2 linked regions of the Alligator mississippiensis genome follow. The protein of the gene in region 2 purifies or fractionates together with the protein of the main gene of each other region. This does not show direct contact. Links are inferred from orthologs where the notes say so. Each region holds a gene or a part of one and is shown on either strand. Other genes may lie near its edges.

What was found.
Region 1: the proteins of ZMYND19 (region 2) and ARMC8 purify together in Homo sapiens (affinity purification with mass spectrometry; 4 studies listed by BioGRID and IntAct, with this or other methods). This does not show direct contact. The link is inferred for Alligator mississippiensis from reciprocal best matches to the Homo sapiens genes ZMYND19 and ARMC8.

Annotation. Positions count from the first base shown.
Region 1 is NC_081830.1:29,559,529-29,563,435, reverse strand, and holds the start of ARMC8 (armadillo repeat-containing protein 8), read right to left. Parts: upstream 2,701-3,907; 5' UTR 2,663-2,700; coding exon 2,618-2,662; intron 1-2,617. UniProt on the Homo sapiens protein: Component of the CTLH E3 ubiquitin-protein ligase complex that selectively accepts ubiquitin from UBE2H and mediates ubiquitination and subsequent proteasomal degradation of the transcription factor HBP1.
Region 2 is NC_081835.1:49,282,795-49,286,701, reverse strand, and holds the start of ZMYND19 (zinc finger MYND domain-containing protein 19), read right to left. Parts: upstream 3,051-3,907; 5' UTR 2,944-3,050; coding exon 2,893-2,943; intron 1,732-2,892; coding exon 1,672-1,731; intron 238-1,671; coding exon 131-237; intron 1-130. UniProt on the Homo sapiens protein: May be involved as a regulatory molecule in GPR24/MCH-R1 signaling.

The sequences.
Region 1 (3,907 bases), on a different chromosome or scaffold from region 2:
TTATTAAGCTTTTACCTTCTTCCTTGATGAATTTCCTTGAAAGAATGAAGGTGATTTGTGGAAGCTCTGCCTTGTTTTTGGAATGGCAAGTGACCTTGGACTAAACCTTCACCTCTTTATCCAGCTGGATTTCTGGTGTGGTACTGCCCTCCTCCAGACCAGTGTGGCATCAAGGGGCAGAAGATGAACCACCTGGAGCATCTAGATCTACATTTCCTTCAAGAATGGCTTCTGCTTATTACGTCACTTTGGTTATCTAGCCCAAGGGAGCAGGATAGTCTCAGCACAGCCCAGGTGAGGCAGGGCATGTATGGTGAGGCAGGACCCAGATAGATTTTAGGTCCAGACCTTCATTAAGCTTCCAAAGCTAGAATCTGCTGCTTTCTAGCCTGCTGACCAGCTCTAAAGTTCAGGTAAAGCAGGAGTGTCAGGACACTGGCAGATTTCTGCAGCATGCGATGCACCCCAGCTGGTATCAAGCATCCTTGGGTTCTGATGGACATGGGGATTGGCAGCAGAAAGGTGAGCAAGGGCTGATACATTCCTTGCTACTTCTTGTGTCATCACTGCTGCAGTCCTAACTCCTCTGCCAGTGGCCTCATCATCACCCCTTTGCCCATGCCAGAACTGTAGCTGTTGCTGCTATGTCACAGGGCAAGTACAGTGGCTGCAGTTTCAGCTCCAGCACAGGCCAGGCAGCAGAAACCAGAGCTGAGCCCCATGCCAGATCAGCTATCTCCCTGTACCTAAAGCCACAGCCAAAGCTGCTATCACTGCATACCCCAGGCTGGACATAGCGTACAAGGCAAATTTTATACCCATCAAATACAATGTCTTCTTACCTAGTGAGAAAAAGCAAACCAAAACAGACTAAGATTATTTATAATAAAAGTGGCAACTGGCCTCTAGACCATTTCATGCCAAGTGGGCAGGACATTACCTAAAAGCTGTTTCATAAGAGTTAAGACACAGTTACTGCAAGATACCATTTGAGGCTGGCAAGCTAGGATTTACGAACATGGGACACAACTGCAGTCAGTAAACAAACGTGTCCCAGAGGCAAAGAATGAAAGCATCCCTTTCAATATCCACTTAAAAGCAATATACCCCACCAAAAGATCAAAGGGCAACTGCAGTGGATGTGCCTCCTCCCTGCACTACAAAGCACAGCAACTAGGCCACCTGAGAAGACCCAGAAGACTTACAAGAGCAAAGGGATCAGGCTTCTATTGCCAAGCTGATTTCCACTTCCTGGCAATGAACTGGCAAGAGTGCTCTACAATCCCTGTACAGCAGTTTTTACAAACAAGACAAGAGGTTGGCAAGATGTTTTCAGTGAACAGTAAAAATTTGCCAGAAAAACAGAGCTTTGAAATAACCCAAACTACTTGTGAAATCCCACTGAATCCACTTATTTCAGTGGCAACATGGAAGATTTTTTCTAATGTCAAAACATTTTCAGAAGAACGGTTTGCTTTGAAAGGCATTTTGTTATATGTGAAGTGACCTATGATTTAAAAGGGGCACAAAGCAGATAAAGTGCCTGCAAATGAAACAGAACATGTGTTTTGCTTATGCCAAAACAAAGTTCTGCTTCAATTTGAGAACACTCCTCTTCTTCAACCACCGAACCGAGTAGTCTTTTATTTGCCCAGCTCTACCTAGCAAAAATACAGGCCTCCAGGAAGCGCAGACCCAACTCCTCCTCAAGGATCAGCATAAATGCAGGTAGAACAAGGCAAGAGGAGCTTCTTCTGAAAGAGAAAGTAATACTACAGCTCTCACTTCAAAGGAGAGAAGAAATCCAAAATTAAACATGATGTAGACAAGAGAATGGGAAAGACACCAGGGTAACATCCAAATGCCTCTCAGCCCTTTAACTATCTAATGCAAAAATTGACAAATCTGTGGCTCAAGGATCAGACTCTTAAATCACCTAAGATCCCCTAAGATCAGTGACCCATGGTAGAGATAGTCCTTGAATCATGGGATGGCCAATGATGAGGCAGAAGTGGTATCAGGACACAAACACTACTTTGGCTCTTACATTTAACATTGAGACACACTATCCACTAAACCAGGAGTGGCCAACTTGGGGCATAGCTGCCTCAAGGGGCACAAGACACTTCTGCATGTGGTCCACCAGATTCAGAACAGGGGAAAGCACAGCAGCAGGTGGGGTGGCAAGTGTAAAGCTGAGGGGCAGATGGGGTGGGGAGCACAGGGCTGGGAGCAGACGCTGCGGGGAGGGAGCACATTGCAGAGCAGCCAGTAAGTAAAGCAGGCAGGCAGGCAGTTCAGCAGCAGGCAGGGGGCAAGTGGAGAGCAGAGCAGCAGGTGGGGCGGGAACAGAGCAGCAAATGGGGCACCAGGCAGGGCGGCGGGCGGAGCGCAGAGCGGCGAGGGCAGGGCGGGGAGCGGAGCGCAGAACGACCGATGTGGCGGGCCGGGAGCGGCAGACGCTGTCAGCCCAGCCCACCCCGGCCCGGGCGGCGGCGCTAGTCCCGGTTCCCGCCCCAGGGGCCGCTCCGCAGCGCGCCGCCCGCCCCGCCCCGCCCCGCCCCGCTCCGTTCCGTTCCGTTCCAGTCCCGCTCCCGCCCCGGCCCGGCGGCCTCACCGAGAGGACGCTCATGCGGAGCGGCGCCTCCAGCACACACGCCATCTTGGAAGCGCGGCGGCGGCGCCTCCCGTCAGCCCCGTGCTGCCGCCGCCGGGCAGGGCCGCATCGCTCGCGGGGGAGGGGCGGGCCCAGCGCCGGGCCAAGCCGAGCGGCCTGCGCGAATCGGCCGGCACCAAACGCCAGCTGCCTTCCACCGGCCCGGCCCAGTGCGCAGGCGCCGCCACGGGCCCTTTGACTCGCCGAGCGGCGCAGGAGAGAGCTCCTGCGCATGTGCGGGCTGCCCTCGCACCGAGGAAGGGCTGTAGGTCAGATCTGCGCGTGCGCAAGCTGCCTTGGAGCCGGGGAGGGGAAGGGAAGGGGCAGAGTTAGACTCAACTGGCGGTCGCGTTTCGAGGCGCATGCGTAGTACGTTCATTCATAAAACACCCCAGGGCGGGAAAGGTGTAACGAATCTGCTGGGTCGAGGCACCGTCGTGTGTGGAATCTGCTGACGCCCCTAGCCGTGCCAAGGCATCAGGGACTCTGGCACACCTTACAATGAGAGTTGGGTAGGACCCAGACCTAGAGTTGTTACCCCTGTTCAAGCACTCGCTTTGTAGCCGTCTTGCAGCTCTTTTCATAAGTGGATGGCCATGTGGTGGGTGTGCCCAGTCCAAGTTTGATGTGCCGTTCACCGGTGAATTGTGTGATAAATGTAGCATGTGACACAGGCCTGGTGCACAGCTCTACCTCTCTGACCCGGGTTGTGAATACAGCCCCCCTGTCCCAGGCCCCAACCTGGTACCAAACATGGGAGCAGGGCCCCCTGCTCCAGGATGGGGCTGAGAAGAAACATGGTTTGTTCTCTCTACCTTCAAATCAACAAGAAACAGCTCCCTCATGGCCCAGCAGCTTCAAAGTGCTGGAGCAAATTTAGGCAACAAAAATGTTTGCTTGGAAATGGTCAAATGAGTGGAAGCAGCAACTTATGGCCAAGGGATGTTAAAGCATGAAGGAATGAGACCTGGGATCCTGGCCTCACTGGTCAGAGATTTTGGGGATGACTTCAGTGGCACTTAAGATTTCATCCCAGAAATGATGGGCTGAGTGGAGCCTTGCTGACAGCAAAGAACAAGGAAGAGGCAGCAAGTATTTAGGGAACAAAAAAGGTGAAGCTAGAAAGGAACATCCAAGACTGGCCAACCTAGATCAGCTGCAGGGAGGAGGAAGTAACCTAGAAAGAGATCTTAAGTAAAAGCTTTGCAACCCTGCTGGTACCCCAGAAAGATCAGGCTGTTTCTTCTTGAA
Region 2 (3,907 bases):
CCTGGAGTAACTATCTGCTCTGAATCCCAGTGTAATTTGCACTAGTGTACACATTCTGCCTCCAGATCTTACAAACAAATATCAGATACCATAAGTACAGGTTGAAAGCTACAAACTGCCCAATACCTACCACAGTAACTCATGCAGTAGTCGCCCAGATCCCCTTCCTCGGTTTTTGTCAAATGCATAAGCAAATATTTTAGCACCATTTCCATCAGCATCTACCTCCATCCGAGCCTGGGGAGAAGGAAAGAGTGTTCTGTGACCGAGGGCATCCAACTGTCAGCAGCAGCACAGAAAGTGCCATCTGGGATTTGGGAGACAGGAAAACACCAAGACCCAACAATGTCTGCCCCCAGCAACTGCAGGAAATCTATCACATGGGAGGTGATCTTAATGGGATTTCAGTTAAGTGGCTATTTAGTACCTCCCTTAGGCAGGGACCACAAAGTTATACTTTGTGATGACTGGGGGTGACAAAAGTGGGCTGTCCAGTACAAGAAAGTTTCATTTAGGCAAATGGGAATAATAATCCAGCACCAGTCTAAGGTCTACTCCCTGCTCTGCACTAGACTTCACATATATCCAGTTTCTCTGAGCCTCATCCCCACTCTGTAAAGTAGCAATAATAACACTTCCTTACTCCATAGCACTGTTGAGAGAATAAACATACTGGAAACCAATGTCTGAAGCTATGGTACTAGGACATTATTTATGTACTTTTAAAAGATAAATATCCACCATGGAGTGGATATATTAGTTGCTTCAGAATCTAGCAGTTTTACCTGCAACACCACAGCAACAACTAATGAGATTGGGAAAATGGAAAAAAAAAAAAAATGAAGCACAAACTTCATTCTATTACTGTAGCACTGAAGAACCCCAATCAGAGGCCATGACCACATTGGTAGAGGCACTGTTCAAGCAGAACAAGGCAAGTCTTTCTTAATAGAGAAAGGACTAAGGGATTTTTTTTTTTTTTTTTAAATCAAGAAAACCCCTCCAATGATAAACCCAGGTAGATCTAGTTTAACACCATGAAGCAGACCCGGATTGAAAATAGTTCTCTGGCCCCATGAAAATTTAAGGTTGAGACATTTCCTCACCTCAAATCAATAAGAAAAGTTAGTTTCAAATTTGAGACTGAAATCCAAAAATATTTAAGTTAGACTGAGGAAAAAAATTATTTTGGTAATTCCAAAGCATCTGGGCTTCAGACTTTTATTTTTACACTTTATTTTCACTTTGTTTTCCATAAATAAGTAACTTCTCATTTTGAATGCCTCCAAGTTTCCATTTTTACCATCTGGAAATATTTCTCTCTCAAATTTCCTTCAAAATGTGAAAATTATTGAAGCCGGCCCTTTCCTAGAAATCATCTGTTCTAACAAATAAGCATTCAAACAAAAAAAGTCTGTTCAATAATTTCCAATAAACTCTTCTTTTAAAGACAGTTAAACTGGTCTGTAACCATCCCAGAAACCACTTCAAGTCATTTAGGCATGAAACTATCTATCTACCTCAGCACGCAGCTGAGAAGGACGTATTCAACCACTGTGTAGACGTACGATTTGGTGGCACAACTCTAATCAAAATACAGCTACCATACATTCGGTCAGACAATACAGGAGTTTTTTGTTTCATTTTAAAAAGGGAGTTTAGATTTCTCACCTCAAAAGAGTAACTTTCCACTAATGGGATGTCTTGTTCGTCTATGAGCGTATACTTTGTCTGAAATATATCAAACATATTAAGAGCAGTTAAGAAAAGCTGAAATGTCTTAAAAGATCCAAAGTCAATCCTGAAGTGATTCTGAAACAAACTGAACTTGAAATACTTTAGCAAAGTAAGCAAGCAGCACTGATATAACCAAGTCCTGATAAGATCACTTTGCCACCCAGTTTATGCAGGTACAGATCTGTGGCTATAGGCCATCACGTAATAATGGTGATCCGCACAGGAATGGACGGACAAAACACTCAGACCCCCAGCACACCGGAGACAACACCCAGCGGGACGGTGAACACTTTTGAGGTCATCAGTGAGACAACAAACTATTCAGCCCTTCCAGGATCTGGAAGAAGCCAGCCCCCAGAGCAGGTCTCCGGTCGAGAGCCGCCACTGACAGCTCAGGGAGGGAGAATCCCCGTCTCATTTCTACGGCTGCTCAACTCCTGGCAAAGAGCCGGCTCCAAATCCCACGTGCTCTCTCGCCATCAGTCCAGGCCTCCCTTCCCTGACGCTAGGTTCGGGGAGGAGGAGAACAGAGTAGTAGGTTAAGCCCATATCGAGTGCCTCACGCTTCTCGAAACTGCACGTGCGTGGGCGGCACCCGCCGTGTCCCTAGCTACTGGGAAAGCCCAAAACCAGGCTGGCGTGGCCGATTTGCCCCATGTCCCCTGAGCCCAGGGCGCACCCGGGGAGCCTCCAGCACAGGTGCGGGTGGGCGCCGGCCAGACAGGAGCACGCACTGCAGCAGGCCCGCGGCTCTGGGCACGACCCGGCAGGGCAACCCCCGGTCCGCAGCTGGGTTGCGGGCACCCGCCCAGGGGACGCCGGGAAACGAAGTGGCGGACTCGGCGGCGGCTCCAGCCAGGCCCGCGCGGGGAGAAGCGGAGGCCTGCCCCGGGCGCGGCTCGTGCTGGGATGCGGCCCGCGGCGCTTCGGGCCGAGCCTCGTGGCCGGGCCGCTGCGCCGCCGCCACCGGCCCGGCCCGGCCCGGCCCGGCCTGGCCCTGCCCTGCCCTGCCCCGCCGGACTGAGGAGACCCCCGCCCCGCCCCCAACCGCCCCCAACCGCCGCGGGGAGGCGCTGCTGGGCCCGGCCGCCCCCCCCCCGCAGTCCCCTCAGCGTCCCCGCCGCCCTCGGGCCCTGCCCCCGCCCCGGCCCGCACCTTGCCGGCGACCCGGCCGAGCCGCACGATCCCCAGCTTGAAGTCCGTCATGGCCGGGCCGGGCCGGGCTCGGCGCCGCCTGCGCTCGGGGCTCGGACCCGGGCCCGGACCCGGGAGCCGCCGCAGCTGCCACGCGCCGCCGCCTCGCGCACACCCGGGGGGCGGGGCCGCACACCACCTCCCAGCCCGGGGCCGCTCAGCCAACCACCGCCCGCGCCGCGCGACGTCATGCGCTGAAGGCCGCCGCACGCCCAATCGGGAGGCGGTGCCACGCGCGGTCACGTGGGGCGGAGGCTGCCGGCGCTGACGTCACACTCGCGGGAAGCTTTGTGCCGCCAACACTGGAACGACGCGCGCGGAGGGGAGGGGCGGGGCGGGGATTTAAAGGGGCCGCGGGCGTGTCTGTGCTGCATGGGCCCCTCCTGCGAGCACAGGGCGGTCCTGGCGTCACCTGCAGCCCCGGCTCCGCCTCCTGCGCTCCTCGGGTTCAGCAGCTCCCCGCACCCGTCACTGGCGCGGCCCCGCCAAGCCCCGGGACCTGGTCAGCTTCTTGCCGCGGCCAAGCCCGCGATCTGCAAGCCCAGCGTCCCCAGCCTTGGCCATCTCCGAGGGGCCTGGGCCGAGCTGCGGGTGTGCGACTAAGCAGAAAGCTGCAAAGCCTCTTTCTAGGTGATCGTCGCCTGAACCTTTGCAGACGTGACAGTAGCTCGGTCAGCGAAGGAAAGGAAGCCAACCCCGTGGCTAACCAAACCAGGAACGAGATGCAGTTAAAGCGCAAGGCCTGAAAGGAGGTGGTAGCAAGGAAGACCGTATATTAAATCATCTGTATCTGCTGTATAGAATCGCAGGGCTGGAAGGGACCCCGACGGATCATTGGGTCCAGCCCCCTGCACGAGTAAGAAAGACATCTGGGGTCAGATGACCGAGCCAGGTGACCGTCCAGTCTCCCCCTGAAGACCTTGTGGGTAGATGATTGCACCACCTCTGGGGGGAGCTTGTCCCATAGTCTGGACAC